Danio rerio: one gene and its partner. The protein of the gene in region 2 binds, or shares a complex with, the protein of the main gene of each other region. Links are inferred from orthologs where the notes say so. Each region holds a gene or a part of one and is shown on either strand. Other genes may lie near its edges.

The links.
Region 1: the proteins of disp1 (region 2) and shha are in contact, whole or in part, in a cryo-EM structure (PDB 7E2I), measured with the Homo sapiens proteins. The link is inferred for Danio rerio from reciprocal best matches to the Homo sapiens genes DISP1 and SHH. Residues at the interface, in NP_001356523.1 of Homo sapiens: Lys242, Thr244, Gly245, Tyr246, Lys247, Ala248, Glu260, His265, Arg299, Phe336, Gly337, Asp338, Leu339, Cys340, Gln341, Arg342, Thr343, Glu459, Arg899, His904, Asp906; in NP_000184.1 of Homo sapiens: Pro49, Asn50, Val51, Thr55, Leu56, Gly57, Ala58, Arg68, Glu71, Phe73, Lys74, Leu76, Thr77, Pro78, Tyr80, Pro82, Arg96, Leu97, Gln100, Lys186.

Annotation. Positions count from the first base shown.
Region 1 is NC_133182.1:41,225,444-41,242,273, reverse strand, and holds shha (sonic hedgehog protein precursor), read right to left. Parts: upstream 10,246-16,830; 5' UTR 9,927-10,245; coding exon 9,627-9,926; exon of another isoform or gene 9,366-9,626; intron 6,315-9,365; coding exon 6,053-6,314; intron 4,632-6,052; coding exon 3,937-4,631; 3' UTR 2,931-3,936; downstream 1-2,930.
Region 2 is NC_133195.1:54,917,275-54,934,012, forward strand, and holds the start of disp1 (protein dispatched homolog 1), read right to left. Parts: upstream 8,507-16,738; 5' UTR 8,275-8,506; intron 1-8,274. Other genes in the region: MADF and BESS domain-containing protein, read right to left, coding at 15,733-16,205. UniProt on the Homo sapiens protein: Functions in hedgehog (Hh) signaling. Regulates the release and extracellular accumulation of cholesterol-modified hedgehog proteins and is hence required for effective production of the Hh signal. Synergizes with SCUBE2 to cause an increase in SHH secretion.

The DNA of each region.
Region 1 (16,830 bases), on a different chromosome or scaffold from region 2:
AACTTGACTTTGGCTCTTTAGGGGAGAGCGGGGACGAAAGTAACGTGGGACGAAAGTGACAAATTGATATTTTCTCAAAGCCTTGACAACATTAGCTTTCCAAGCTATAACAGCACATTCAGCAGACAACCCTTGATAGAGTTGCCAAATATCAGCTGATTTCAGGACTGTGTCCCATGGTTAAGTCCAATCTTCAGTTTTTAGGTGTAGAAAGTAAATCAATGTAGTTATGCTTTTTTCTTATTGAGCAATTCCATGCCAACCTCAACTTCGCCATGACAAAAATTAAGTTTTCACCAAAATAGCAAAACATAGTGCCAATTTCACATCCGTCACATCCATGACGGAGAGACGTCATATCCATAACAAAGATGGATCATCTTTTGATTATCATTGTTTCTTTTGGGTTGTGCACTTTAATTCACAAAATTTCTACTAAGTGTTGTATACTGTAAACCCGCAGACTCTTTTCGTCACATCCATAACGCATGATTATTTTCCTTATTTAAAATCTAAAAAAATTGTTTACAGTCTGATATTTTTTCCGATGCTATAACTCTGTTTAGCTGTTTTGTAAAATATAAACAGATGTTTCATAATGTTAACATTTTTAACATTCTCTTCTCACGTGTCCCACTAATGATCAATCTACAGGTTATTTAGTGCAATAGCACATCCTTAAGTCTGTAATCTCTGGGTTTTTCAGTTTAAAAGTAAATCCGGTTTAAATGGCAAGAGTTCCTGTGGGGATGAAGGTAACTGTTATTTGTGTCCCACTGATAATAGCCATACCTTATTTTTCACTTATTATATAATTATATATAATTTATCACCCATTGGAGTTTGCAGTGTTTAGAATTAGATGTTTTTATTGAATTAAAGCTAGTTGACTAATAAAATTAATAATTATTTTTTAAAAACATTTTACATTGTTGGATTGCTTTTAATGGAACTGAAACGTACAATGAAAATGGCCTTTATTAGTTTTTGTGCAAAAGTAAAGGACAAATTATCTTTGCAGTTAACATTAACAAGATTAACATCAGATATAGTTAAAACAAAAAAGATTAAACCAGTAAATCTAGCAAATGTTGTGTTACTTTCGTCTCTGCTGATGGGGGTAAAGTGACAATGTGCAACTTTAGTTTAAAGTGAACTTAGATTAAAGTTGTTCTACATTGATATAAAATAACACCAGATATTTATAGACCATTGTTTTGAGTTAATAACCACAGCAAAATATATTTCTACCAAAACATTTTCTTTAAAAATAAGGTTTTTATGAAACAGTACTTTCGGCCCTGCTCTCCCCTACTATTTCCACAAAGAACATCTAACAAAACAACATTAAAATGTTTTTTGTACTCAGTAAAGTAGTTGTAAGAATTGGTCTCAAAGAGTGTCAAATGTTTTGTTTTTTCTGTGTTCTCAATCCTCATTTTCTCAGCTGAGTTCACATCGACTGTGGCTGTTACTCTCATTGATGATATTGTTCAGCGGAGACTCTCTTATGAATGATATCATGATCTGGGAGGTGTTTGTAAAAGTTTGCTCTTTTTTGTTTTGGTAAAGAGTGGCATTTGGCCATTCAGCTTTACAAAACATCGCTTTTTGAGTCGGATCTGCGGGAGAATCCTGTGATTGATGTTCATTTCAGACGCGTATAGCCTACTGCCATGTCTACTGTCTGAACTTGTAAACGGGTTTGGGGCTCATTATCAGATGGCTGTTGTTTCCTTGTTTGATTCTAGAAGCCACATATTACATCTCAGGCTTAACCAAAGGAAACAGGGATCCTAAGAGTTTGGGCTTACCTTAACCGCAAGTTGGGAAAGAGACTCGTGGATGTTGTGTTGGATGTGAACCGAAGCGTTTCATCTGGTCGCACCTGTTTCAAAACTTCGTGTAAATAACTACATGTATGTTAAACCACACTGGAAACCTTTTTATGTGTCATGTGTCGATTTTATATCGGTACTTGCGCCGCATATTTTTTACATGATTCTTGTGGCGATGATTAAAAGACGTCGGCGTACAGGTCAGAATTTGTTAAATCTGAAGGGATCCTACATCTGCGGCTACTGGGCATGCGCACATCAATATAGCCTGATTGTGTGACACTAAAACAATAATTTCTATTTTATTTTAATGGCTGTGATGGCAGGTTTAGGGTTGAGTAGGTGTAGGCGTTATTACACCCAATTTAATTGATATTTTATTAAGATACAAAACTAATAGAAGCAGCGGTATTCCTTCTAACTACAACCCCGCGTCAAGAGCTCTCCAACAGTGGGGCTTTTTAATCTGGCCGAGAGATTTTCAGATGTTATTTGTGAAGGAAGGATTGTCCTCTTCATATTTAACATGGGAGCACAACTTTTCGCAAGCATACAAAATCCAGATCAAAGACTTTTTCGCGTCTTACCGATAGCTCTCTTCAAGAGGAAGATTTGACTTTATTTCTCATTTACACACGTTTGTTTGAAAAGAGCTCTTGTTTCTCCCACTCTAGCTCACCCGATGTCCGTGAAAAAAAGACTGGAAAACTGTTGCAAAAATATAATTAATTACCTGAACAGAACTTGTGTTATTAATTGTCTTTTGACGCTTCTGTAATATAGCACATCAATGAACAAGAAGCTTGGTTAATAAAAACTGAACTTCAACTCTGAAAACTGAACTGACACAGTTTTACTTGACTAGAACTGCTATTAAGCTGCTTTGACACACGTACTCTACATTGTAAATTGCTATAATAGAAATAAAGATGAATTGATTTGTTAATATTTAAATAAACAGCCACTGAAAGTCGACTTTTAAACAGCAGTAATGACAATGAAGTGTGTATGAGCGTAATGTGACAGTGAATCGATAGGCCAAGATGTTTAATGTCTGCGTTGTCAAAGAGAGAAACAAAACATACAAAGGAGCAGTTTGAATATTTTCTTTATCTCATTCATTCATAATAAACATATAAATAATAAATTCTATACATTTCCTGACACCTTGCCTTAATGAAAGGCAGGTTAACTGGTATGGCCACTCATCATATGCTATCCAAACTGTGCATCAGCGGCATATTTTATTTCTATAAAACTATTTACCTATTACAAAATATGAAAAGAAAAATACATTTTAGTAAACGTACAGTAGTTACTCATTAATCTGCTTAACGAAACCCTTTGCTCTTTTACTGTGGGACTATTATCTGTACTCAATGGCCAGAATGTGCATTTCGTATTTTCTTAAGGAAACAATGAAACCAGAGGAGAGTGAGCAGGGGGCGCATGTGCCTGTCCCACTCCGACATCCAAAGCAATAACAAAATAATAGATATTTCTAAAAGAGAAACAGCACAAGACTGCAAAGACTCTGCACCTATTTAAATTAAAATATATTCTCGTATCTTACACTATTTCAAAAAACGAAAAGTGATTAGGTAACGGTCGGTCAAAATCTAATGTACAATTCTGTGTATAAAAATATAATTTCTGGAGCCCCACGGCGTTTGCTTACCCCTAAAATATAACAGTCATTTGCACATATGCACAGAATGTCACAACCTGTCATGAAGGTTTCTGTCTGACATTATCTCTCTCTCTCTCTCTTTCTCTCTCTCTCTCTCGCGCTCTCTTTGTCCCGTTTTCATGAGATACAAAAATAGATTCTGCACCGCTGGATGGTCACACTGCATTCGACTCCGTGTGTGTGTGTGGCACCAGCCTGAGTTCACGCGAGAATAAATTATGCAAAGAAAACTTTTAAGGCTCCATTTATTCTTTGAAAATGACATTTTTTTAAAGTCATTGTAATAAATATCCCAACTCCGCTCGGAGCCTTAGTCTCTCTCTCACTCTCGCTCTCTCTCTTGTACTAATATTGTCTTATATCCTACATTAGTGTGATTTCTCTTGCTTTATTTCCACACGAGGGTTTTCAGCTTGAGTTTACTGACATCCCCAAAGGATGAAGCATGTTGCTGTCCAAAAGCCACGTTCCCATTTGATACAGGAGCCTGGAGTACCAGTGGACCCCCTCCTGTTGTAAAGTCGCATTGGACCGACTGCTGGAGTTTTGGGGGAACAGGAATGATGACACGTAATAATACAGCCTGGCGGGCGCGAAGGCCAAATGCGCAAGCCCCTGGTCCTCTATTACGGCGTAACAGGACGCCAGTATTCTGTCGACCACAATGGTCCCATGTGCAGTCACTGGTGCGAACGAGCCCCGCTGCTCCTCCGTGTATATCCGCTGCACGATGACAGATTTAAGCTGGCCGCTATCATCAACAACCATCACCTTTTGTCCGGCTCTGACACTGCTGGCATACGCGGCGGTCATGGTGTGGAGATCTTCCGTTGAGTTGTCGAGGACAAAAAGGAGGTGAGCGGCGGTGAGGGTGATCTTTTCAACGGGTTCTTGCGTTTCTATGACGTAAAACACACGTCGCGTCGTGGAGTCTCGGTCTGTGAACATGATGAAGTCGCTGAACACCAGGTTTCCCGCGCTGTCTGCCGCCAGCACCTTGTCTCCGGGGTTCAGGTCCTTCACGGCCTTCTGTCCTCCGTCCTGGAGCGAGACCAGAGCCGAACCTGGGAAACAGCCCCCAGATTTCGCAGCAACCGAATTTTCTGAAGACATAAATGAATAGCAATGAGTGATTGAAATTGGGGGATTTTTTATTAGATTAATTAATCATTTAAGCCGAAATTTAAACTAGAGAAACGCGCACATAAGGAATTAAAGACTGAATAAACTAAAGAAAACGTGGCAACGGGAATTAGGCTGTAAAGCTTCTCTAAAAAACTTCAATGCCTTTGTGTGAGATGAAGGAGGAAAGAGCCTGGACTGCTCTAATTAAAAACCAATAAAGGCCGGACATTGTCATTCTAATGCAGCTTGTGTACAGAGCACTCTTGGAAAAGGACACTTCTGCCTTTCCCTTGCGCCTCTTTCATATTTGCTCAGGTGCAGAAACTTCTATGTGACAATTCACACTTATAGAATGAGAAAAACCCCAAGCAGGCTCAAATAGTATTTGCTCAGCCCCAGACACTTTTTTTTTCTAAGGCTCTAATGGTGTAGATTTGAATGTAAATTAGAAATGCTAGGGGTAGTCAATCAATGCCCTCTTCTTCTTTCCTTTCATTTTCCTCAAACCATCATGCTCTCCGTTGTCAAGCTTAATGACAATAATTCGGGCCTTGTGGGATCTCTTCACATTCCGATCTCTTGGGTCGGTAAACAGAGCTATAGAATGGACTTCTCGTCTAATCCTCTCTTAAGATTCTAGGGCATGAAATAAAGATGGTGACAATTGAGAAACAGATTTGGCGAACGGGTTGGAGCTGGTTCTCGTCGAAGCCGGTAATGTATTTGTAAATGTGTTTAGAATTTAAATGATAAGATCTGGCGAAAGCTTATGAGGGATTGTCAATGCGTTCCAGCTAATTTAGCTTCCGTCAATAATAATACGTTTATTAGACAAAAAATCCAGACGAGAATTACACCGTAATAGCGCACTAAATGTCACATGCTCCAATAATAATAAACACAAATTGTTTTACTTTCGAATTTTCGTGTGTAAAACCCTAGATTTTGGCGCATCTCTAGTGTCTGTGCAATGCGCATTGAGCTGCAGAGCAGAGAGTGATCTTGTGATAAGCGCTTCCTTCAAAGAGACAGAGAGGGGCGATGTAAGATCAGTTATTATATGGCCTGGCAAGTATTTCTAAGTGACTCGTTTTAACAGAATGATCTTTCAAAAGACTTTCTTAAGGTGTAGAAATTTAAAAGCAGGTCCTAAGATAGAAATATAACCTTTATATTTTTGTAAGATCTGTGTATCGCCTATTTACAATAATAAATATATGCATTAGAGATTTCTTACAATAACATATATTTCATGATTTAGTAGACTTCAGTAAAAAAAATAAATAAATAAATACAAATATATAAAAGCATTTTCTAATTTAAAATCTCCTGTTTTAACATGAGAGGGAGTGTGAAGCATTGTGCCTTCTTTTTTTTTTTGTCATTCCAGAGGTCTTACCTGCTTTGACAGAGCAATGAATGTGGGCTTTGGACTCGTAATAGACCCAGTCAAATCCAGCCTCCACAGCTAGGCGAGACAGTGTCCCGTATTTGCTCTTGTCTCGGTCAGAGGTGGTAATATCAACAGCTCTTCCCTCGTAGTGGAGTGATTCTTCAAAATGGTGACCGTCCTCATCCCAGCCCTCTGTCACACGCAGCTTAACCCCTGGCCAGTGGTTCATTACAGAGATGGCCAGCGAGTTCAGCTTGTCTTTGCATCTCTAATAGAAAGACAAAAAGAATGGGGCAAAAGGAAATTAGCCGTTGTTTAACGTTTCTATTAATTCATCCTAAATCTCCAAACAATTCCCAAATTATATTGCTTACTGATTATCTGTTTACATCCAGACAAGTTTAGTTAGTTTAGTTTAAAGGGTGTCATAAACTAGCTGATCTTATTATCATTTTCAGCCATGTCAGTCAGTTCTGAGCAACCATCTCAGGAATCAGAGATTTAGATATCATTAATCCAGTATGTTTTCTAATAGATACATCCAGACAAATGTGACTATGAGAAACCCATATTTACACTTGAAATAATTCAGCCTTGCATGCAAGGATAATCTGCTCAAGGAGCTCAATGAAAAATTTATAAGTTACTGCATTCGCTTCACTGATCTAAAACGTATAGATCCAACTAGGGAAAGGTGTGACTGAATCAGGGGCCATGTCTTTGCTTTAAAAGGCCAGAATGCATACAATGAAATTGGGTAAAAAAAAAGTAATTCGGTTAGTGGTGTTCATTATTATAACCTTGAGATTTAGAGCAGTAGGTCTCACTGAGGTGCAGGTATGAACTGTGGAATATCAGGCCATGTTTGGGTGCTAACCTTTCCCGGGACCTTGCTTTGAGATGCTTGGCCTTCACCAGGACAACTCTTCCCAACACTTAACCAATATGTCAAATAAAACACCACAAAAGACTCTTTCACTGCGTCCAAGAGGAGAAGCAACTACTCATTATTCTTGCAGCACAGGTTTGCTCAAGGGACGTGATGTGATTGCTTAACTGACGGTCTTTCAGAGGTTATATAAAATCTATTCAAAATATGCTGGCAAATTGTGACACTAAGCCAAATTAATACCTGTAATAATTCACACACATACCCTCCTAGCTTTGACTCACTTGCTCGCTTTCTCTGACTCTCCCCCCTTATACACACACACACACACACACATCCTTAGCCTCTAACATCCACATAAATTTCTCCAGCAGACTATCGCCCCACTTCCTACTGATCTGCTTGACCCTCTAATTTTCATGTCAGCAGTGAAGACCATATGCACTTTACTAAGCTGAATTGCACTTTATTGTATATCAGAAAAATAATGTTTAGTCAATTATAAACTACACTGAATTATATCTGAATGTATGAAACTGTTCAGTTCACTTCATTGTGTTTCTAGAGTCTATTATACAAACGATATAGTCTAATGAAATAAATTGCAAAAACTTCACAGATGCATCCTCTGGATGATGCCTTTTTGGAATATCTGTACACTGAATGGAATGTAGCAAAATGGTACTTTAATCAAAAGTAAATAAAACAGACCCCCTAACTACTATATTTTAAATTGCTGCCTTTTAGCTCTACAACACTTGTGGCTGTTGATTGATAGAGTAAACCACAAGCAAGCGACATAAAGATGCAACCTAGCACATCCTAAGCAAAACTACCGGGGATTGATGAGCCGTGAAGCCTGAACTCTTTATTAATTCATTGAGTCGTGTGCCGCAAATCAAGCCAAATTCTGTTCAGCCACCATGAAGCGCAGCGGGAACCCCCTGTGCCGCCGCTTTGTGCTCCACACGAGGTTTGTTCAACAAGCCGCCTAGTCACAGTCAGCAACTAATCTCCCCCCAAAATGAACTGTTTTAGAGGAAACACTTATCAGCTACCTGTCAGAGCAAACAGCCTCCTGGATACCCTCGCAGTTGCGCCTAATTTCGCGAGCTTCACCGTTAAGTCCAATTCACCGCACAGCGTGTTCAACCAACAAACCCTGTCTTACACTCGGATGCGCTTCTCCAAAACATTTGTCAACAGGACACCTCGTTAACTCCCTTTGAAAGACTGAGACGTTCATTTGATGTTACTAGATTGCAAGGGTAGCTTATAGCAGCGTGTGTGCCCGCGGGTCACTGCACACTTATAATCACATTCACCTTAAGTAGAGCTTGATATACATCTGAGAAAACCACACCAGACACGGGTTTCATCTTTTTTAAGGACCGGTAAAAGGGAAACTTTATAATGCACCTGCGCGTGGCGTGTAAATTGACTTTGGCGGACATTATTCGCAATGCTTCAGCAAACCTTGCTATAACCGGTCATGACTTAGACTTTGAACCTAAAAGCTATTTAACAGAGGCACGTTCAAAACAGCCTAATAAAAATTATGCTCGGGATAATCACTTTGTAAATTACACGGAAACACTTCAATAGAGGCTAATTTGCACTGCAAACATATTTTCGATGCACTTAGTAAGCTGCATGTTATTCTTCCTTAGCATTGGCAAAGGGTCAGAAGTTCAAAAGATTCCTGCTAATGCAACGAGAGTGGAAAGCCATGTTGGGGACAGACAGCCTATTCCCGAAGCTGTCTGACTTTAGCAGAGGCCTAGCTTTCTTTAAAATAAATAAATGTAAAAAGTTGGATGTAAATGCTAATATACAAATCTGAGCAACAAAATAAACGAATCCAATAAACCATATTTAAGCAACACAAATCTTTAGCATTACATCCAAAAGTGAATATAACGCAGGCTACCTAAGAGCAGAGAAAACAGCGCACCGCGGCTAAGTATTCGCGTTTACATTGTAACAAAAATAATAGCGCATTTTGCAGTTAAAATAATGTTGCATTAGCATTGACTACTCATGAAGTATACAAACTTATACTTGCTGTTGCTTAAATATATTAGTCAGATTAAATACAGTTAATGCAGCCTCGCATGTGCTGAAAAAAACTGTCGGCAGATGAACAAACACCTGCATAACATCCAAAGAACAGAGGCGATGATAGTCCATTGTGTCTGATTCTAATCTGTCATTAAGTGTAACCATCCTAGCCCATTAATAAGTAGAAACAAATCGGAGAGCATCCTTGGAGAAATGTCAATATGTTCATGCCCTGATAAGCAGCCGCTGCGAGCGAGCGAGCGGGTAGGCTGCGGTCTGTCTGACTAAGCGATATGAACATGTATGTTATATTTCAATCTATATTTAGCTGTCACGAGACTGTAATATTCTGACCACCACAGTCCCTTCAGATCAGGTGCGGCACTCATCCGTCGGGACATCCACGTTTTATAAAACAGATAACGCGCGCCTGACGCGTCTCAACGCGCGGACAAATGCATACATATGACCAGAAGAAGCGCATAAATATTTCACGCTGCCTTCCACAATGAGGGTGAGCAAGGAGGCAAGCAGCCGGTCCTCTGTTGATGGCACAGGACTAATTCACAATCCTTGCACGAATTCAACTGTACTTTCCGACTTTCAGATTTCGAAAGGCGAAAGAATTACCTGTGTCATGAGCCTGTCCGCTCCCGTGTTCTCCTCATCCTTAAAGATAATGTCGGGATTATAATTTGGAGTAAGTTCTTTAAATCTCTCCGAATTGCGCGTTATCTTGCCCTCGTATCTGCCGCTGGCCCCTAAGGTCTTCTCCGCGACATTAGGTATGAACTGCTTGTAGGCGAGAGGTGTCAGCTTCTTCGGATGTCTTCTTCTGCCGTAGCCTCTGCCAGGACCGCAGGCCAGTCCGGACACCACCAAGGACAGAGTGAGAAGAGACACCAGCAGCACTCTCGTCAAAAGCCGCATTTTGCCGCACGCTGAATCTCGCTGCGGTGTTCTCGAGCGGTCTGTCTAGCAGGGTTTCTCGTTGTCGAGGCGCGGATCTCCGGCGATGTCCTTGCCGTCTCCTCGGTTCACGCGTGTCCCTCAGCAGCGCCAAGCCCCGACCGTGACAGGTGCGGAAACGTGCGACTGATAACGCATCGGAGGTTTGCGGCGGGGATGCGAAAGGTAAGACTGACCTCGAAATCACAACGTTACTTCAAGCCACAGCCACTTAATGCGAGAAGCCTCTTTACTCCTATGTATTATAGCTGCGATCTGAGGTAGGGAGGGACCTGATTGGCTCGACGGGACGAACACTTCTGATGTTATCCCACAAAACAGACGCGCAAAAAACCTTTAAAGAAGGTGGGTTTCAGGGGAGGGACGCGGTGAGATGTGAACGCATCAGTTTCTCCCACTGCTGTCTGTGTGAGGCTGCGACGTGCATGTGTGCTCACTTTCTTACATCCGTGTGTGACCCGCTAATGAACCATTATTTCTCAAGTCATTTGCGTTGCTGCACGTAAGGTTGAATCAATTATACAACTTTCGAAACTTCATTTATCACAGCAAGTGCGGAATGTGCGCGTTCACCATCACCCGAATTAATCACAGAATAACAGCGTTTCCAAATATGACAACTTTTTAATCGCTTCAGTCACATTCCTGTCAGATTGATCACTTGTTGTCCCATCAGCCTCTAACCTGAACAACTCGGTTACAGAAGCCAGACGAATTAGTTTTTTGTGTTTTAAAAACACTCAGATCTTACATCAAATTTATTGTGCTTTCTGCAGTAAATCAGCACCAACTTTTGTTGTCATTTTGGACATTTTAAAGTCAAGGGTACAATTTACAGGATTTAGTTTCTTGTAAATGTTGTACAGATTTCAAAACGTAAAAACCAGGATTGTTTTGATGTATCTGGTGTTCTTTATTATAAAGCTGCCAGTCCCAAAAAAGGGGTTTTGCCATTTTGGTTCCTTTCAGAATCTTTTAGTGAAAAGTTTTTTAAAAGTACAATTTTTTCATAGTGTGAGGAATATTTTCACACTCTAAAGAAAGTTTTTCCCTCTTTAAAGAATCAAAAGCTTTAGTAGATGTCGAAGGTTCTTCGTGGAACCATTGAGAGGACCTTTATAATTAAGAGTGCGGTGTACAACTGATTATTTCTCTATCTTTATCAGGTGCTTTTCCATGGTGTACCAGAGCGAGAGAGCAGGAGACAGAGATTAAGCTGGCTCTTCTGCCCAACAGCTTATTTGAGATATTGGAAAAGGCTCTTCCTGTGCACACAAATGCTAAGCTGTCTGTTTGGGAGAAAGATCAGCCTGCAAAAACCCTGTCACCCCTTAAAGTCCACTTCAGTGACAGATTAAGCCATGGTAACCACTGTGTTCCCTGGCCCATAGCAGCGGGTAAGGTATGTGTTTCATTGTCTTATTTTCTCTTGTTTTCACACATTTTCTAGACTGCTCTATCAAAGATGGTGGCTGCTTGTCTTGTGAAATACATTAAGAAGATCAGGGCCCCTGCTGAAGGTTTTGTTCAATTGAGCATGACAGATGATTTGTTGTCTTATTTGTTCTAGTCTTGAGGTGTCCAATTTTTTTTTGGACCACGGAAATTTTATAAATGCCATTAAATGATGACCTGTTTTTGACCCATTTAGCTTAATTGTAAATTGAGTCTTAGTCAATTAAGAAAATTACAGCAGGATATCATTAAATCAAGCAGTTTCTCTCCTCTAAAATATCTCCAGATCTAGCAAACGGTCAAACAGATCTTACTTTGTGTCCAAATATTATGCCCACCTGGCCACTGATGTCCAAGAGGAGTGAATTGTGCAGACTGGCTTAGTACTTTAGTTCAGGTCACAATTTCTGCTATTAACTGGCTCATTACTAAGCCCACACGGAATCTGTGCCCACAGATTTCTGCAGATTTCCACACATTTTTAACCCATCATCGAGTCTATTTATTTACTTGTGTAAATGTGTGTAATTTATATTTATTCAGTTTTTAAATTAATTTCATTAATATTATTAAATATTATGAAAGTGTTCATATGATTTATTTACAATACAGTTTGTAAAGTAACATTTTAGTAGATATATTATATGAGAGACTTGCTTTGTTTATCAAATAAGTGCATCTTATTGGATTTGTATTGTAAACATTAAATAAAAGTTAAAAAGGTATATATATATATATATATATATATATATATATATATATATATATATATATATATATATATATATATATATATATATATATATTTATATATATATTTTCAGGTTTTAGCTATCATACTCCTGAAATCATTTCACATAAATCTGCAGATCTTTTTATAAAATTCTGCTCAGAAATAGCAAAAAATGTCAGCAGGTTCTGTCTGGTTCTACTGATTACCTGCCTATTATTAAGATGCTAACTGCTTATTAGTGGTTGTAAAAAATGATCTTATTCTGCATCACTTATCCTACCCTAAACCCAACTTTTACTAGCTATTAATAAACAGCTAATTTGTAGTTTATAAAGCTTGTAATGATAGTTAATGGTTTGTTAACACTATGAATTGGGACCTAATCTAAAGTGTCACCGACTGGCTTTTCATAGGTTTCCACAGTACGGCAAACACTATATGAACTGACTAACTTATTAGTTAATTAGTTTATTAGTTTAAACTAGCTTCCCATATGTCATTATTAACCCCTCTCCCCCTTAATTTATTCTGTTCATTGTTGAAGGTTTAACTTGACAGTTTAAGTGATTTTACTGACTTTTAGTAGTTTGAAATAATATAATAATGAAATGCTAATATATTAATATATGTTCAAATATAGTATGATGAGCAATATATACAGACGTAGTTCTGCTACACTAAAAAAATAGTAAATAGTCGACAACTTAAAATTTTAAGGCAACCACCTTCAGGTCATTTTTGAGTTGACTCAACTTCAAATGAGTCAAGTGCAGTACTTGGGTTGAAAGTTGAGGCAACTCAAAAAAGCTCTGGAGCAAGTTGCCTTACAATTTTTAATTAAGATAACATAAAACTAAACAGAAGCACATATAAATAGAAACAATGTACCCATAAATCACAAATGAACACAAATGAACATTTTGTACAGTGAGAATACTACTTTTAAATCAATTTCTGCAACAGTTATTTTACCTTCAGAGTATTAGAAAGTTAATAAATCAGTGTGGCTGACTTAAAAAAAAATCAGCACAGACGCAGATGCTGTAGTGAAGTGTGATTTTCCTGCTTCTCCCATATAGCTGCATTTATAAGCAGTTATGAGATTACTAATCATGCTAAAACAATTCTATGGGAGCAGACATAACGATTACGTAGACGTCATTTTTCAGGTCATTCGATTACGCAACTGTATGTTTAGCATGAAAAAGCCCCACAAACAAACACAATGTGGTGTAATTCTGGACCTCATACAAGATCATGTGCCGCCCCAATTGACTAATCCTTTGAGAATGACCCTAAGCAGTCGGTGTACAGCAAAACGGTCTTAAGGACAAGCATTCTGTGGAGGAACACTTAGCCTCGATTTCGGGCAGCTCTTTGTGTTGTTGTGGACTGCAGGGAGTGGAACGTGGGGAATTTCACAATCACGTACCTGAGGTTCCAGCTCAGCTCCGTCTCGGAGTGTGTAAAGAGTTTTTTATTTGCCTCACTCAGCCGCTCCCTCTACTTAAACATAGTCTCAGTGCTCTCAAGGCCAAGGCAAGACAGCCAAGCCCCAGGTCAACCCAACACAGCGGGAGGGAGAGGAGAGTCTTAGAGATGCGCAAATACGTGCTGTTTCAATGTGAACTGAGATTTAAGGGGCAAAGGGGGCTAGTGAACACTAAGGGTAATTCATAAACCAAGCATTTTCATAATGACTACCTGCATTCCGTGATAAAAAAAAAACAAACAAAGCAGTTTACTGATATTATTAGTATTAAAGGGCACCTATTTCACAACATTTTTAAGATTTAAGATGAGACTTTTTTTAAGACATGTAGCTGTTTATGTTGCCTGTGCCTTTAATGCTAGTTCTCCCCACCCACCTTTCCCATGTTTCAATCTCCACCTCGGCTGTGTCAGTTAAACAGCAGAGTGACAGACATGAAGGAAGCAGATCTCACGTAACGTTTGTGAGAATTACTACAGTAAGAATTTATTCAATCATCCCAATGATTATTTGATGTATTTGTTGTGGCGCTGCGATGAGTCACACACAATGTCGTTACAAAGTTCAGTCACTCACGCACACACAGCAGCCACATATACACTGCATTCACATTTAAATTTGCACTGTGTTTGCAAGCAAATGTGACAGGATGCACATTAATATTCACTGCTGTGTGGATATCCGTTATGTTGATGTACAAAATAATCCTAATTTAACGTCCACAAACCGGGATTGAAGTGTCTTCTTTTATAATTGTACTGACATGAGGCTGTGCTGATAAAGACTGTAAAATCACTGTAATTCATTACAAACACGCACTGTTTTAAAAACATTTTAAACTTGTAAAACTCATTCTTGATCACTTTTGATGATCACAGAGAGCTGAACAGATCTTTTAATCCTGGTTGTTCTGCGCATGTCCTGTCTTGATATATATATATATATATATATATATATATATATATATATATATATATATATATATATATATATGTTACTACGGAGACATGTTATTACACGGCTGTCAATCAATTTGGTGGGTGGGGAAGCCTCACTCCTACAACATGTTGTGGTGGGCCTCAAAATAGGAGAGATTTGGATCCTATATTAACATCAGGAAATTAAAGAAAGAGACTTATTGTGTTTATATCATCTCAATATGACTATGGACACACTAGACCTACCTGTAAAAAATGCTTAATTTTATGGTTTATTTCTGGCAACTTCTTTAAAAAACCCTGTAAACTAACGGTTGTTACATTACAGAAATATAAAGTAAAATAAAGGATATTAAATTACAGAAATGTCCTTAAATGTAAATTTCTGTCATTCAAAATCCGTTATTTTATGGTAAATTACTGTAATTTAACGTCCATTATTTTACGTTTTATTTCTGGCACCCCAGCTTCTGGAAATAAACCGTAAAATTACGGATTTTTTTACAGTGTACACACAGTTCTGTCCAAACAACTTACAAAAGATGATTTTCATCATAGGTTCCCTTTAATTATTAACGATTAATACATAATGGGCAATTGAATTATTCAAAAATAATGCACACCTGTGCTGATGAGACATGTCAGTGTGTTTTATTTTCCAATTGTTCAACTTATACTATGGTTACCACACCTATAGACAATCTACAAATGTAGTATGCCAAGTCATTTGTCAGTTTTTTGGTCCAAAAAACCACTGCTACAGTATGTGTAAGAATATTTTCTTACGCATATCATCCAAATCCTTTTGTTTTGATTTTTGGTTTTGATTTGAATTATTAAAATTAAGTGGAACTGTAATGGAGTCAAGACCTGCCTTGAACAAATTAAACAGTGTGAAAATAAACGCACACCTTAAAAATTAGCCAATCAGAATTTAACAGCCCTTTATAATAATATAATGGATATTATAGGATGGTTTTGCATTTAATTGATTGTAGTAACTCCTGAAAAGGGGGATGTCAAAGGCCCTGTAAAATGGTGATGGACAGCAGAGGAAAATATAATTGCAGGCATATGTGAAAGTTGAGGATGCAAATAAGCGAGCACATGAGAGTAAACCATCTGCTTCAGCATGCTTTGTTCGATTGCCATTTGACCTGAGGACACAGATAGTATCTTTTTAATGAACTTAGGGTGCTTGTGGCCTGTGCCATATTACCTAGAGCAACAGTAATTCCTCTGGAAATTTAGTCAACGTTCTACACAGCTGACCACAGTAACCACCGAAAAGCGAAAGCGTCATTAAACACCCAATCACATGCTGCCATAAACACAAGCACCATCCCTCCATTGGAAGTGTTGCCTCCTACCTGAGTGTTCAGAAACATTCCACAAGAACAGTGCGATGTGATTTCAAAACATTCCCACACTCAGTAGTCTACTGGACAGCTTCCAGGACGTTGCTCACTGAACAACATTACAGCCAATATTTTTCATATTGATTGTAAAATTAATTGTTAACTACATGTGTCTGCACGCTTCAGCTTCTGAGGTGATAGATAGGAATTAGTGTTGAAATAAGTGTTGTAACGTCACCGAAGAGCAAAATGATCCAAAAGACTGCAGTTGAGGACGAGGGAGAGAGAATGCAGCAGTTCCTCATCACAGCTTTGGATAATGACCTCATTCCGGTCGCCAGAGTTTTGTGATCGAGGGCAGCACAACTGTACGGGAAGGAAGCAAACCTGAAATGAAGAGAGGAGGAAAAGATGTGAAAATAAAGCATAGGTTTGTTTAGTGGGCAAAAGGTGTGGACTGTGGAAAGATGCAAATGTCTCAGCACACATCTTTAGGGGTTTGAATCTGGAGTTTTATCTAGCAATTTATCAGCATCACTTTTGATCAGAATAACAATAAGTTCATTTGACCTCCTGAATTACATTACATACTGTATTGCATTATAGTACTATATACTGCAATTTTTTCAACCACCTAAATATAATTTACAGATGTGTTTATTTTTAAAAATATACATATGTTTATATAATAAGCAGGATAATGTTCTGTGGTGGCTCAGTGGTTAGCACTGTCATCTCACAGCAATAAGGTCGCTGGTTTGAGTCCCAGTTGGACCAGTTGGCATTTCTGTGTAGAGTTTGCATGTTCTCCTCATGTTTTTGTGTGGGTATATTCCTGGTGCTTTGTTTTCCCACAGTCCAAAAACATGAGGTATATGTGAATTGAATT
Region 2 (16,738 bases):
ACTACACTCAGTGGCATGTGCCAGTGTCATCTGTACGTCAGATGTCGTGTCACTCCATGTTAAAACTGCTACTGTGAAACCGCGTTCAAGCGCACACAATAAGCTAAAACTCGCCCCAAGCACCGGCAAAAACAAATAACCATGAATGTGTCGAGGAAAGAGTAAGGATCATATCATAATTATTTATTAATAAACTTATTCTGAGTCGCAAAGATCCTGACTGGCAATCTCCTCTTGGACTCGCCTTTAGAGAGAAGTTCATCTTTACGGATTACATGAAGGAGTTTTTTTGTTTTCGATTTGTTTTATTTCGTTAAGTAATAATTTAAAGCTTTCTATAAATATATTTATTATGTCTGTGAGGCATATACATTTTGCTTCATTTTGTTAAGCGCTCCTGTTCAAAAACCTGACGACAGAAAGCGCATAATTTTGGTTTTCTTTATTTTATAAAAACGCTGTAACGTTTTTTGATGTATTACTCGTACTTTGTGAGCAAAAATGACGGATAACTTTAAATTGCTCCCACTGAAAAAATGCAAGTGATTGCTCTGGCGCCTCGATGTCCTGCAAGCTTTTTATAAGCAAACTATGCGCCTAATAGCACACATTCTTTAACGTTTAAGCTACCATTGTTTTATACTTGAACTGTTTTATATCTTTTATTTTAGGCAAGTCGTGATGATCTGAGAAGGCAAACTGATCAAACAGACAATGATGGTCTTCCGCTGGGCGCTGTTCGTTAAAAAAAAACTTATTTTTAACGAATAAAAAATGCTCCAAACGTTTTTCTAAATAAGCTGAATAAAAAACGAAACTAAATATAAACACTTTGCCATTAGGCTACATACAAAACTGAACTATTTCATAGCTGAAACAAGTTGTTTAAGGAGAAGGGGGAAATATATTTTTGTCCCGTCTATTGCTTCACCGTTATTTCGAGAATAAACCCAGCGTAAATATGCAGATGCCATTCCCAAAACATATCAGCGTATATGTGCCGAAAACGAAAGTTTCATACAAATTCTGAATGGATTATAGCCTGGAAAGTGCAAAGCACGCTCCTCTTATTATCACTAAAAAGCGTCACTTAGTTCATAGAGATCTCACAAAGATCCGTTATAATTTATAAAGCTCTCTAAATTACACAATTAATCTTTTATTTACATGGCGTCTACACTCAAAAGATGATTCACGAGCACACAAAATGGCACTTAATAAAAACCAATCCGGCGCTTTCAGCAGTGAGTGAATTCTGTGAATCTAGAGAAATGACAGATCAATATCCGTCAACCTGATTTTTTTTCCCCCGCAGCCACAGTACGCCGGAAATCCGGCGTGGTGCCGGAACGCTATCACCCCTGCGGATGGATGGATGGACTGATGGACAGACAGACAGACAAACAAGATATATAGATAGACAAATGGATGGATGGATGGATGGATGGATAAACTGACGGATGAACTGACAAATGGATAGAGGGATGAAAGGACGGAAGAATGGATGGACAGATCAGATAGACGAATAGACAAATGGATGGATGGATATGTAGATGGATAGATTGATGGATAAATGGATGGATGGATGGATGGATGGATGGATATGTAGATGGATAGATGGACGGAGGGATAGACGGACGGACGGATGTATGGATGGACAATGGATGGATGGATTGATGGATGGATGGATGGATGGATGGATAAATGAATGGACGGATAGATAGATGGATAGATAGTCGGATGGATAGACAAATATATAGACGGATAGATAGATGGATATAAATATATATATATATATATATATATATATATATATATAGGCAGACGGATAGACGATGGACGGAGGGATAGATAGATGATGGATAGACAATGGACAGATGGACACATAGGCGGATGGATGGATGGACTGATGGACAGACAGACAGACAAACAAGATATATAGATAGACAAATGGATGGATGGATGGATGGATAAACTGACGGATGAACTGACAAATGGATAGAGGGATGAAAGGACGGAAGAATGGATGGACAGATCAGATAGACGAATAGACAAATGGATGGATGGATATGTAGATGGATAGATTGATGGATAAATGGATGGATGGATGGATATGTAGATGGATAGATGGACGGAGGGATAGACGGACGGACGGATGTATGGATGGACAATGGATGGATGGATTGATGGATGGATGGATGGATAAATGAATGGACGGATAGATAGATGGATAGATAGACGGACGGACGGACAGACAGACAGATAGACATGTCCAATGGTTTAAAAATAAAAAAAACATTTGTTTTAATTTTAAAATATATTTTATTTCAGCTAGTTGACGAGGAAATATTTCTTACATTTTAGATTTTTTTTTATTAAATATTTGATTGTATTTTATTTAATTATTTTTAAAAAATGCTTTAAAAAATTTGATATATTAAACTTTTTATTCATATCAAAACACAACTATACACACACGTAAAAATTGTGCATACTGTAAATGTACTTAATGCAACTAAAAATAACTAAAATTACAAATCAAAATAAAAAAACACTGAAACAAATTATAATGTACAAAAACTTAATACAAGGAAAGAAATATTTACTAGATAGATAGACAGACTGACAGACATACAGACATATGTCAATATAAAATGTTTTAAAAATATAAAACTTTTTTTTATATTTTTTAAAATATATTTTATTTCAGCTAGATGACAAGGAAATGTTTCTGACCTTATTTTAATTTTTTAGTAAATACAATAAATGAAATATTTGCTAAAAAGGCAAAAATATCGTAAGAATTTTCTTTATTTTTAAACCATTTTAATTTGATATGTCCGTCTGTCGTCCTGACAGTCTGTCTGTCTGTCTATCCATCTATCATTCTATCCATCCACCTACCTACTTCATTTGTTTATGAAGCGTTTTTGTGAAAAATTAAATGAAGTACAATAAATAAAGTATTTATTAATTGGATTTTATTTAATTATTTGATAAACTGCTTCATATAATTTCATGTATAAAACTTTTGAATTCATATACCTAAAATTACAAAACAAAATAAAAAACAAACACTTTGCAATAAATATAATATGTCTAAAAATAAATTACAATGAAATTAAATATTTACAAGATAGACGGACAGACGGACAGACAGACAGACAGATAGACAGATAGACATAATACATATCTTTTTTTCTTCAATTGTCAAAGGTTATGTCATTAAAATGCAATCGCTTATAGGACATTCTACCAGAAAGGTACAATTTCCCTTATAAAAATGTGACAGGCCTAACCTTTAACCTCACTGTCCATCTTCTCCATCAAATGATGTCACTTCATAGCCTGAATGTATTGTATGCATTTTATGTTAAATTTAACACAAATGTGACAGGACTGACCAAAACAAGGGGACAAAATAGTATTTATTTGTAGAATTTATTCAAAATGTCATGTTTTTAATTACTTTATGTGAATGATAACAACTTAAAATTCTATTTCTGAAGTATTTTTCTTCTAAATAACAGTTTTAGCACAACAAAACTACGGTTCACTAAAAGTTAAATTGGGCTGAGGACAATGACAGGGTTTGTACATTTAAAGTGTTTTAAATAAAGAACAAAAATCTGAGAACCAAATGAATGACATATCCCTTTACGGAACAACTCACAGAAATCAACCATCAGTCCATTTTATGCAGAGTTCAGACTGCATGATTTTCAGAGTAGTCGTGTCAGAGATGTTTTCACACTGCTTGACTATCTGGGCTAGCGTTTCGTCGCTGCTTTGTTTACACTGCAAGACGATCGGCGACAGGGACTTTCACATTGCATGACTTTACTATAGGAAGAATCACCGACAACTTCGTCCAAACTACATCTCACAGCCAAAAACACATCGTATATCTTTTGTTATTAACTACATAATGAGAAAGAATCCTTTAATGGGGTAGAACATGTACATGTTTGCTCACCTGTGTTTAAAGGGAATGAGCCATTTCTCCTCAACGTTGATAATACACTAATTTCTTTCTGTATGAAACGTCAAACAGACACAGTTGCTCCTGTGTCCTGTCAAACCTCCACTAGTTTTTCCTCCATTTCGTGGGTCCAAATAAACCGAAAATGAGCGCTTTTAACTTCTCCCCCAGCCTCCCGCTGACCTGCAGCAGGTATACACACACACACACACAAGTGAATGCCGCTCTCTCATTGGCTGTAGGCGATCGCTGATGTTATTTTCAGTCAAAACTCAATTCACACGGCATGATTTGAATCGCCGACAGCTCCAGATATTCAGCACGGCAAATATCTGGCAGGCATCGGCGACTCATCGGCGATTCTCTCAGATCGCGTCTTTGATCGTTCATACTGTGTGATTGTCACTCACGTGCACGAGCAGAGATTTGCCTGTGATTTCAGGCATTTGTCTGCGATTTGTCAAAACCTGTCGGCGAGACAAAATCGGGGCTAAAATCACACAGTCTGAACCAGGCATTAGTTATTGTTGGGGATGAAATTCACTGTATTTGTGTTTATTTCAGGTACAGATAATGTAGGTTTCTGGCAGAATGTCCTGAATACAGTTTTTATACCTCACTGTATGTCTCCTACTTTTCATTTGGGGTGAAATCTGACCTGCACATGTCTTTGAGATGTTTCCTGATGCTCTCTGTCAATATAAACGTTACAGGGTTCAACGCTAAGGATTTTTTATACTGGCCCAATCGGGACAGTGGTTCAGATTTTTACTTGCCCTGCCAATATTTTCTTTGGCCTAACCAAAAAAAAAGTTAATAGCTATTTCTCAGCCACAAATTTGTGAAAAATGTTTGTGAATCTAGAATTTAAATATTACAAAAATGTTAATTAATGTATAATGAGCAAAATTCAAAGTGTTATGCAAACAAAAGTAGCAGTGTGGAAAATGTGTTTGGAAATTGAAATTTTATTGCAAAACAGAAGTGGCTGACCTGCCAAACTGATGGCAAACTGTACAAAACATCACTTCTTGTTTTTTAGTCGTGGCAAAGAGCATAGAACAGAGGTGGGCAAACTGCGGCCCGCTGAACACTTTCATCGGGCCCGCGAGGGAGTTTTTAAAATGCTGCTTCTGAGAAGGTTTGGTTTAGAATAAGTAAATTAATGATGCAATTACAAGTGAACGCCATGTGATGGCAGTATTGCATGCGGTACAGTAAGTGCAACCAGTAGAATTACAACACACTCTCGGATATTAAAATGCACTCGACAGTTAATGACCGAACACGCTTTATGCGTTAAGAGGCGCCTCTTTTGAGTGGTTTACTAACGGCCGCGGGGGTTATGTTTTGCGCGCTGCTTATGCGTCCTGCACGCCTCGTGTTTTAACCAGTCTATGGTTTTAACTGCCTGCAGCATCTCGCGTTTTTGCCGTAACAGACTTTAGACTGACACCCTTGCGAAGAGAGGGGACCAGGCTCGTTGTTCACATTAACACTCATAATAACATGACTTGGTATAACAAAGACTAAGATTCTTCTTCCGTTTTATTTCATAGTTTTATAATGATTGATATGAGCACATTAATACAAGCTCAAATGAGATTAATGTGAATTTGACTCAATCAAATTATATAATTATTGCTGGTTAAATGTGTTAATTTTAGTCATAGAATATATTTTTTCCATGCAAATATATACACTTAAAAAAGTCCTTTTATCAAAGATTTGTGGTTTTATCAAGTTGTATGATGATTGATCTGTATATTCTAAAAGCAGTGTAAAATAGATTATTGTAAATTTGACTGAATAGTAAACTTGAAGAATTATTTTTAACGTGTTAATATGATATTTTTTCTATTAGACAATATTTGCTAGTCTCCACTGTACATATTATTACATTATTATTATTATTATTATTATTATATTTCATAAGGGATTATTTTATTGTTTTATGAAGATTGATAAGTAAATATAAATAGCAGTGCAAATTAATTTGACTTAATAATATTTAAAAAACCTGTTTTGTGTTAATGTGACGTGTTTCTGTCCGATATTACATTTTTATGCATACTGCCACTATAAATAAGTTATTTTTTAAGAATTTGACATGTGGCCCTTCACTTGGTTCGCAAAACTTGATGTGGCCCTCGGGTCTAAAAAGTTTGCCCACCACTGGCATATAATCCATACCTGTCAACCCTCCCGTTTTTCCCGGGATTCTCCTGTATTTTACCGTTCTATCCCGTTATCATCCCTTAAAGGTATTTTCCCGTATTTCTCCCGTATTTTCAGACTTTCTCTGAACAGTCAAGCTTCCCTATACACAACCCATACCGCCGAACCACCAGGGGTCGCCCCTTGCTCTAAAACTAGAGTCTTCTGTGCTTTCGCTTTATTGCTTGCTTTCTTATTTAATGTAATAAAAAATCTTATTAAATGCCAGATTCATTCGTTGCTCTTTAATCAGAATGTTTAAGTTATAAAGTGGAGAAACGGCTAATGAGATTGATAGCTTGATTCTGTTTCATTATAATAGCTATTAATTTTAATAAGCTGAACTGTTAATGTATTTGCTGCTAATGTATATATTTATTTTTATGTTTTTAATAATAATTTAAAACACATAACTGACCATTTAACTGTTTATTAACAACGAAACAGCTCCAAAGGAACAAATTTAGTAATTTGGGGATTTTTTTAAGGGGGAGGGGGGGGTGTTGGGGGAATCCCTTATTATGGTGGGCATATCCCTTATTTTCACATCCCAATGTTGACAGGTATGATAGAATCACCAAGAGGCAACACTCTAATGCAATTTGGGAAACAGCCAATAGATGGTGCTGTGGCCATTTTGGAATGAAAACTCCAATAGAACAACAGCATATTACAAGTCTGTAAAATAAACTATTAAAAGTGCTGATGATTGTGATGGTAAATGTTGTATTATCTTTCAGGTTGTGTCTCAGCTTTAATGCACTTGTCAAATAACAAAATAAAAAACAAAGCAGCTGCTTGCCATCGCGACAGCAATACGATCCAATGGACGGCCGATTGCTTTCACTCCAAAATGGTGGAATCCGAGGCTGTTGCTGGGCGCTGCTGTTGCAATGGAACGTTCTATTGAGTGTCGCCTCTTGGTCATTCTAAGCAATTTGGTCGCGGTGTACCCTCGCAATGTCTACTTCCAAGAAGTTCAAAACAAGTGTTTTCTTTTAGCTTCATCATTTGATGTTGCCGTCTCCTCACTGTACTGGTTGTTATGTAAAAAAAAAATAACATGCTCAAAACGTCCAATCAGATAAGAGGAACCAAAACCCAATATCCGCTTGTTAAGTGTGACGTCACGCGAAGCGGCTTCCGGGTCCAAGCGCTCTATTCAACTGAATGGGGAGACTCATGAAATGGTAATAATAAACGTTTACAAAGTGATTTAATGGTTTCGAAAATCACGATCGCAGTATATGTCCATGCCTAATATCCGATGGCCAGAAAGTGATTCATTTTTTTATAAATTGTTAAATTTTTGGTATTTGTGATGCAGCAAGCCCAGAGATTGTTGTTTACACTATGACTTTATATAAAATTAACTTTAATGTGCGATAGGAATAAAACGTGATTATAAACGAATGATTTCTCCACTCAAATGAATGGCGGCTCGGAAACAGTATTACATACGTCACAAACACGTCACCACTTAACAAGCGGATAGTGCTAACCACATCACAGAGAAGGTAGCATTCGAAGGCTTAAAAATCCAAACTGTTTCTCGATTCTAAGACTGTATTTACACGCAATTGACAAATAGTCACAGGCAAATTAAACTTTAGTGACAAGGCAGCCCCAATCGGGCCAGTAATGACCCTGTCTACTGTCCCGAGCGTCTCACATACTGGCCCCGGGCCATCCTTATCGTTGAGCCCTGCATTACGCCAATATTAATAATGAAGCTGAATGTTGAGACCATAAGTTGAAACACATAGCTATACTATAACATGAGGGGTGTTTGTGGACCGCAACAGTTTCATGGGAAAAGTAAACACACACACACACACACACACACACACACACACACACACACACACACACACACATAGAGAGACAGAGATAGTCCTGCATAACAATACTGACTGCATCTCTAACGTTACTCAACAATACAAGCATCTGAAACACACACACAACACCAATACACATCCAGCTTTATCCCGACAACACACAACCTCACAAACCCACACCAAAAACCCGCAAAGTTGAGCTCTGAACACTTTAAAACAGGAGATTTTTCCACTTACTTAAATCTGAAGACACACACAGTGAGAGACAGAGAGAAGAAGCGCGGCGGAGCAGCACTGATTTACGTTACACACGTCATAACGGACAAACGCGCGACATAACGGACAAACACACAAACAAACATGAGTGCGTCTTACCGGAGAACCAGCACGAGCGTGTCCGTGATCGCTGATAATACGCAGTACGGGACCGGTTGTTTGGTCGGGAAGGTGGGAAGGAACTACAGGAAGTGAGGGGCAGATCCCTATTCCCGACAACATACACGCTGGACCTGCGCAGATCAGCCGGACAAGCGTTCCAAATCACAGTCCACCGTACTGCACACTACACCCTAGAAGTATGACATGCGTACTTTTTTTTTTTAAAGGGGAACTATTATGTAAAATGAAGTTTTATATGAGGTTGTGTGTCAGCAGTGTGTGAATATAACCAGCCTCTAATAGTAAAAATGTATTCTTAGAATATATGTGTTATGATCACACTTGATTGTCTGCAGAAACACTTTGATTGACATTCTCCCTTTGTAGGTGTCATCAGAGGTGGAAAGGCCCGCTCATTAGTGACGATCTGTCCCACATTAGCATAAACAGCCTTGAGAGAGAAGCAAAGCATAAAAGCAGCATCATATGTTTGCAGATATTTCAGAAACATGCTCAGTGAACATTCTTGTTTATCTGAGAAACAATGCTGAAGTCAGATATTCTGCTTTGAACATGTGCGTTACGTGTGACAACATCTGTCTTTGTTTTGGTCATTTAACCCACCCATTTTCAGTTTAGCCATTAATATTTCAGCATCTCAGGTTACCTTGGTGGAAAACAGCGTATTTCCTTCATTCAGTCTGGAAGGATTACAAAGCGTCTGTGACTGAAAATGAGACCTCCGGTGGACAGCAGCAGACTCTGGTCCCGTTTACACTAGTGCGTTTTAGTTTAAAAACGGCGTTTTAGATCAAAAACGATCCACGTCCACACAAGCGTTTCTGAACATATCTCCGTCCACACTGCGCCACCAAAAACGTATATCACGTGACCATTCGCGCACTCTGGGCATGCGCAATGAACAATGAACGCGATGGCAAAGAAAGCAAGAGAGGTATTTTTGTGGACAGACGACGAGGTCGAGTTGATACTAAACATAACAAATGAATAACTGCACAATGGCGCCTAAAACAGACAATAGTGCAAACAACGCTCCCATCTGTGTCCGTGTTGTTGTTTACAGTGAAGGCTGGTCTGCTGTCTTCTGGTAGCGTTAAAGCCATGTGTTATAGTCATGTGATAGGGGCTTGACGAATAAGGGAAGGATACGCAATGACACAAAAGCACCAATCAGGTAGCGAATGTCGGCAGCCGTTTTCAGATGTCTGTTTTCCCCATCCACACTGAGACGGAGCAGCAGCGTTTCAGAATGAAAACAGCCTCTTCAGCGTTTCCAAAACACTCTGTTTTTGATGCTCGAAAACTCCAGCGTAGTGTGAACGGATGGCGTAACCGTAGCAAGACTTATGCGTTTTCAAACTAAAACGCATTAGTGTAAACGGGGCCTCTGAAATGAGACGCAGATTCAGAGTTCCACCTGATTCCACATTATTAATTAGCAAGTAATATAAATACTACGAATGTAAACATTAGGTGAGCAGGTTACATTGTAACCCCGTATCCTGACAACACCCTACATGATGCAGTGATGAGCAATTGGGCTGTTTGCACCGGACGAAACATGACAGAAATGTAAATACAGCCATTCAGAAGCACAGAATAGTGCACTCACTGCACCCCAGCCAAATGGTAAAGTTTATAATCTAATGAACACATATTAAACCTCTTTAACATGATCAAATGTAGATGCTGAATAGGCCCGGATAGGCTAATAGGGAAAACCGGGAGAATTCCCGGTTGGCCGGTCCGTTTTTTTGCACTCCGGTCCGCTGCTTGCACTCTCAGCAGTTTTTTCATGTATTTGTTTATTTGACCATAGCCTGACTCTTTTTATTCATTATTTTGCCGCAGCTCCGCTCTTTTTATTTATTTTCTCGCAGCCCCGTGATCAAAATGCAGCATTATTAACCTGCGGGCTGCACCACATTCCACCCCAAACAGCGGCACCGTAGTGAATATTTATTAATATTAATGAATATTACACCTGCTCAGTGAAAATTAGAGGATTCACTACATTAATAAATCGGACATAACTTGATCAGAAATCTAAAAAGGGGAGAAAAAAAAAGAGTAGGGTACAAAAAGGGTAGACATCAATAGCAGCAGATAACAGTGTGCAGCTTAACAGCGTCATCGTAGTCTAGCGATTAGCACATTATGTTTTGAAGCCACCGACACGAGTTCGAACCTCACAAGAGTGTAATATCTTTTTTTTTTCATTTTTAGAGTTAAGACATAATATACTGTTTGGGTTCCTTATGTAGGGGTACATTTGTGTGTGTGTGTGTGACGACCATTACAAAGGACTGGAAATCTATAATGAATTAATGTTCTCATATTTTTGAAAAACATTTGAAGTTCTAAAGCAGCTGTGTCCGTGAAAATGACATGTTAGTGTCGGACGCAGGACTGTGTTTGGGCCTCCCTGATCTAAACAGTCTCTGGGTCAATGAGTGTAAAGATTTTGAACATCTTGGACACTTTAAATGCTTCCAAACAGTTTGCTGCAATTATAGAGCGCTCATGTCTTGAAGTAGTTTACTATGATGTGATTTACCTTCTATGTGTGATTTGATTGGACGGGAATCACAGGACTGATTTTTCTAATCCACATAGACAAGAGAAAATAAAGTAGTGACTGCAGGTTGAAGGACAGTAATGGAGTAAAAGTGCCGATACTGCACTAGAAATGAACTCAAGGCAAAGTAAAAGCACACATTCTTAAAACTACTTGGTAAATTACAATTTCTGAGAAAAACTACTCAATTACAGTAATTTGAGTATTTGTAATTAGTTACTTTACACCACTGCCAACACGTCACCAATTAACAAGCCGATTAGCATTTAACACAGAATAAAGCACATGAGGTGTACCTGAGCTGATCGTTGTCAGTTTTCTGTTGTTCAGATGTGACAAATAAAAGTTTCTAAAATATAAACTTCAGGTGTTGGTTAGGACAGCCTTTAGGCTTGACAGTCAGGCACACTGCTGTTGATGTCGTCAATCTAACAACCTGCGCTTGCGTTTGTTTTGATCCAGGGGTCTGGGGTCCGTTCTTCCTACCTCGCTTAAATGATCTAAGATGATTTGGCAGATCCCGGATCTTTTAATCTTGATAACTGATCTCTCGCTAATTTGGTTCTTCAAACAAGTTCGCGAATCAGATTAGAATGTCTGGATAAACTGATCTGAGATCGCTGCGTGTGTTGTGAAGGACAGATCTATCGATCCTCGAAATCATGATCAGCAATGCAGCGATTGGCTGACAGCACAGTAGCGTAATGACATCATCTGATTAATATTCAATTATCCATGTGAGCTAAATTACATCAAATTAGCAGTCGACGGTTTGTTAAATATGATACGCAATAACTTTACACATATGTTGTGAACTGCAGGCTTTACACTTTCATGTGTCAAGAGTATTTATCATGTATTTCAATGCATATCAATGTATTTAGTTCTACATTTAAAGAAGATTTTCTTTATTACAGTAGCCGTTTTTTAATCGCTGTATGGAATAACTGGATGTTTACAAAAGCATTTTGATATTGGTAAAGGCGTCTGCAGCTTTTGTGAAGCATCAAATCACCAGCATATTTACTGTCAAAACATGTTTATGACTGCATAAATGTATTATTGCTTTTTTTTAAAAAGTCGCATATTCTGCATTTCTATTATCATACACAAATTGTACTAAAGCGATCTAAAAAGTTAATATCAATAAATTTTCTCTTTGTACTTTCAATTCGAGGGTGCAGATTGCATAAGTTTTGTTAATATAACTTTATTTATTTTATTAATAATAACTTTATATATATATAGTTAATTTTTTTTTAACTATTTTCCCAAGTGTATATAACTACTACTGTAAGAAAATATCATAATTCGGTACTTTCTGTATTATCTTTGCTTGAACTGAGCCGATCTAATCCTGTTTATATGAATTGAACCTGCTTCCGATCAGGTTTGAGCTAGCAGAACTGTTGCTATGACAACAACTCTCAGATCAGCTTTGAAGAACGAAACGATCCTGTATCATGTCAAATCGTCAATATCCAAATCCAGCTAACTGAGTTATCCACGTACGAAGAACAGACCCCTGTTCTTCGTACGTGGATTACTTAGCTGGATTTGGTTATTGACGATTTGACACAATCCAGGATCGTTTCGTTCTTCAAAACTGATCTGAGAATTGTTGTCGTAGCAACAATTCTGGTAAATCAAACTTGGTCGGGAGCAGGTTCAATTCATATAAACAGGATTAGATTGGATCAGTTCAATCAAAGAAAAAAAAAAAATAAAATATATATATATATATATATATATATATATATATATATATATATATTAATAAAACTTGCAATTTGCACCCCCCAAATGAAAATACAAAGACTGCCACCTGCTGGTGCAAAGAGAAAACTTATTGATATGAACTTTTTAGATCGCTTTAGTACAATTTGTGTATGATAATAGACATGCACAATACGTAACTTTTTAAAAGCAATAATACATTTATGCAGTCATAAACATGTTTTGACAGTTAATATGACGCTGATTTGATGCTTTACAAAAGTTGCAGACATCTTTATCAAAATGCTTTTGTAAACATCCAGTTATTCTTTACACCGATTAAAAAACCGGCAACTATAATACTACTATAATAAGTAAAAATCCGCTCTAACTGTAAAACTAAATAAACTGCTCTTGACACATGACAGGGCGAAGCATGCAGCCCACAACAAGGTGTAAAGTTATTGCGTATCATATTTAACAAACTGTTTACTGCTAATTTGACGTAATTTTGCTCACATGGATAATTGAATATTAATCAGATGATGTCATTATGCTACTGTGCCATAAGCCAATCGTTGCATGGTGCTCTAGTTTTACAACCTGCGCTGGGTGTGTGGTGTCTGTACTACTGTACTGTGAGCTAACACTGACCTATTAGCAGAGATACAGAGGAGGAATATTATAGTTCCCATTCGTGTTCATATTTAAATAAATATTTATATATTACACGACGCTATAATTGAGACAATAATTATATTATTGCCCCCCCCTCAGAAAAGATCGATACTTTAACTTAAGGATCGATCTTTTTGATACATTCCCAGTATCGAAAATATCGATACTTCAGGATCGATCTGCCCATCCCTAACAGCAATACCTACTTCAACCACTGAGTGTCAAACTTACCAACTGCACCTTTATCTTGCACAGATTAATAGCTGACATTTAGGCTAACAATGTGCGCTAGTAAAATTAATACTGGAAGTTCAGATTTCATGCAGATTTAAAAAAACGTTATGCTCTCAAGTTCATGTGTGATGATACACAAGAATCATATTATCATATTATCCACCTTTATAAAAATCATTTATTTACAGACTGAAGGATGACAGAGTGCATATACATGTCTGTTTAATCATTGATCTCTGATGAAACAAACATCTACCAGCATCGGTACAATGTTGCGAATGTTTTTTTTTTTTAAATGCAGTGGATAGAATTTCAATATCAATAAAAGATAGAAAAATATTAAAGAAACTATAGAAGTAGGGCTGGGATGATAAATCAATGTATTATGATACGTGGGTCGATTTTTGGACTGCATTGCCATTCTCTGTTGAATCAGTTCTGAGCTTAGTTTATAACAGCAGATGATGCTCTAGGCTTGTTTTTAACAGCAGACGGCGCTCTAGGCTAGTTTTTAACAGCAGACGGCACTGTACGCTAATTTTTAAACAGCCAACAACATTGTAGGCTAGTTTTTAACAGCAGACAGTGTGATAGTGTGCTAGGCTGGCTACGATGAAGTGGAGCACCATCCATTGTTAAAACTAGCTGCTTTCAAAAAACTAGCAGATGGCGCTTTAGGATATTTTTTAAACAGCAGACGACGCTCTAGGCTAGTTTTTAGAAAGCAGATAGCGCTTTTGGCTAGTTTTTAGACAGCAGATGGCGCTCTAGGATATTTTGTAAAACAGCAGATGGCGCTCTAGGCTAGTTTTATACAGCAGGTGGTGCTCTAGGCTAGTTTTAAACAGCAGATGGTGCTCTAGGCTAGTTTTAAACAGCAGGTGGTGCTCTAGGCTAGTTTTAAACAGCAGATGGCGCTCTAGGCTAGTTTTTAAACAGGAGATGGTGCTCTAGGCTAGTTTTTAGACAACAGATGGTGCTCTAGGCTAGTTTTCACACAGCAGACGGCGCTCTAGATTATTTTTCAAACAGCAGATGGCGCTCTAGGCTAGTTTTTAAAAACCAAATGGCACTCTAGGCTAGTTTTAAAACAGCAGATGGGGCTCTAGGCTAGTTTTAAACAGCAGATAGTGCTTTAGGCTAATTTTTAAACACCAGATGACAATCGAGGCTAGTTTACCACCTAGATACAACAGAGTGGGGCACCATCTGGTGTTAAAACTAAGCTAGAGTGCCATCTGTTGTTTAAAAACTAGCTGATGGTACTCTAGGCTAGTCTTTAAACAGCAGATGGCGCTCTAAGCTAGTTTTTTCATGTTGAAACTAGCCTAGATTATTATCTGCTGTCTAAACTCTAGCCTAAAGCGCCATCCATCTGCTGTCCATAAGCTAGCTGACGGCACTCTAGGCTAGTTTTTAGAAAGCAGGCGGTGCTCTAGGCTAATCTTTAGACAACAGATGTTGCTCTAGGCTAGTTTTTAGACAGCAGATGGCGCTCTAGGCTAGTTTTTAAACAGCTGACGGCATTCTAGGCTAGTTTTTCGAGAGCAGATAGCACTCTAGGCTAGCTTTTGGACAGCAGACGGCGATGTAAGCTAGTTTTTAGACAACAGACGGCGCTCTAGGCTAGTTCTTAAATAGCTGACAGCCCCCTAGGCTAGTTTTTGGACAGCAGATGGCGCTCTAAGCTAGTTTTTAGACAGCAGACGGTGCTCTAGGCTACTTTTAAAACAGCAGATGGGGCTCTAGGCTTGTTTACAAACAGCAGATAGAGTTTATTCAACAGGATTAATGTAAACAGCTCACTACGAACACTTGCAACTCGCTTATTTTTTATAGTAAGTAATATTATTATTTTTTATTATTATTTTAATATTACTTATTTTTTATTTATTTTAATGATGACTATTTTGCGTTTAAAAGATACGTGTAAGGATTGTCAGAGTGAGACAGGTTTGTAAAGCACACAGCGCCATCTGCTGGTAAAAACTAATCTCAAAATTAATTCAAGAGAGAACAGCAATGCATTCAGAAAAAGTAATTATTGATTCATAATGCATGGATTTATTATCCCGGCCCCATATAGAAGCTCACTTAAACTCTGCCTCATACAGCAGCTGGTGTATTTTTAATTTGACCGCGCTCTTCTTGGCGTACGGCAGTCGTCTCAGATACGGCAGTAAACTAAACAAGAACATCTCGTCCTCCAAGTCCTCATTGGCCTCCATGTGCCACTTTCGCTTGCGTCCCGATCCTTGCGAGCCTGACGCAGAGTAATGCGACGCCCCATCCAGCATTCCATGATCACCTTCAAAGTCCTGCACCACGAATGCTGAGTTCCCGTCCGCCGTCCTCTCCTCGTCTTTGTCCTCGTCGTCTCTGTCTTCTTCGGGCTCGTCCGCCGCAAGAGATCTGGACTGGATGAAGGGTGTGAGAAAAGACATCTGCCAGCTGTACTTCCAGCTGCGGTGAGACGTTCCTGATGCTCGCCTACGCTGCTCTGCACGCTTGTCTTTGATGAACATGTCCCGTAAACTCTTCCATCGCCTGCGGCAGTCCTCCTCTGGTAAAAACAGCAAAACACAAAGAAAATCTGAAAAATGATGCTTCATAATCAATGCATGGTTCACTTATAAGTTTGATGAAATAAAAAAAAGCTGTCATCTATAAACAAATAAATAAAAATCACCCTTTAGTGGTTCTAAAATTCTCTGTTCAACACAAAACTAGGCCTGTCACGATAAGGATTTTTTGTTGTGTGATATATTGTCAGGAATTTTAGCAATAAGCGATATTATTGTCATTTTATGCCACTGATTATATAATGATTATATAATAGCATCATTCATTAATTTTCTTTTCGGCTTAGTCCCTTTATTAATCTAGGGTCGCCACAGCGGAATGAACCGCCAACTTATAACAGCATAATAATAATGCATATAGCAATAAACAATTTAAAAAACATATCATTCTCAAAGTTATTTAGATTATATTGATGTTACAAAGGTTAATGTCCTATACACTAACATACAAAGTCTTGTCGTCTATCCAAGTTTTAGGAACAGCAAATAATAACTGGACTTCTAGTTGCTCATT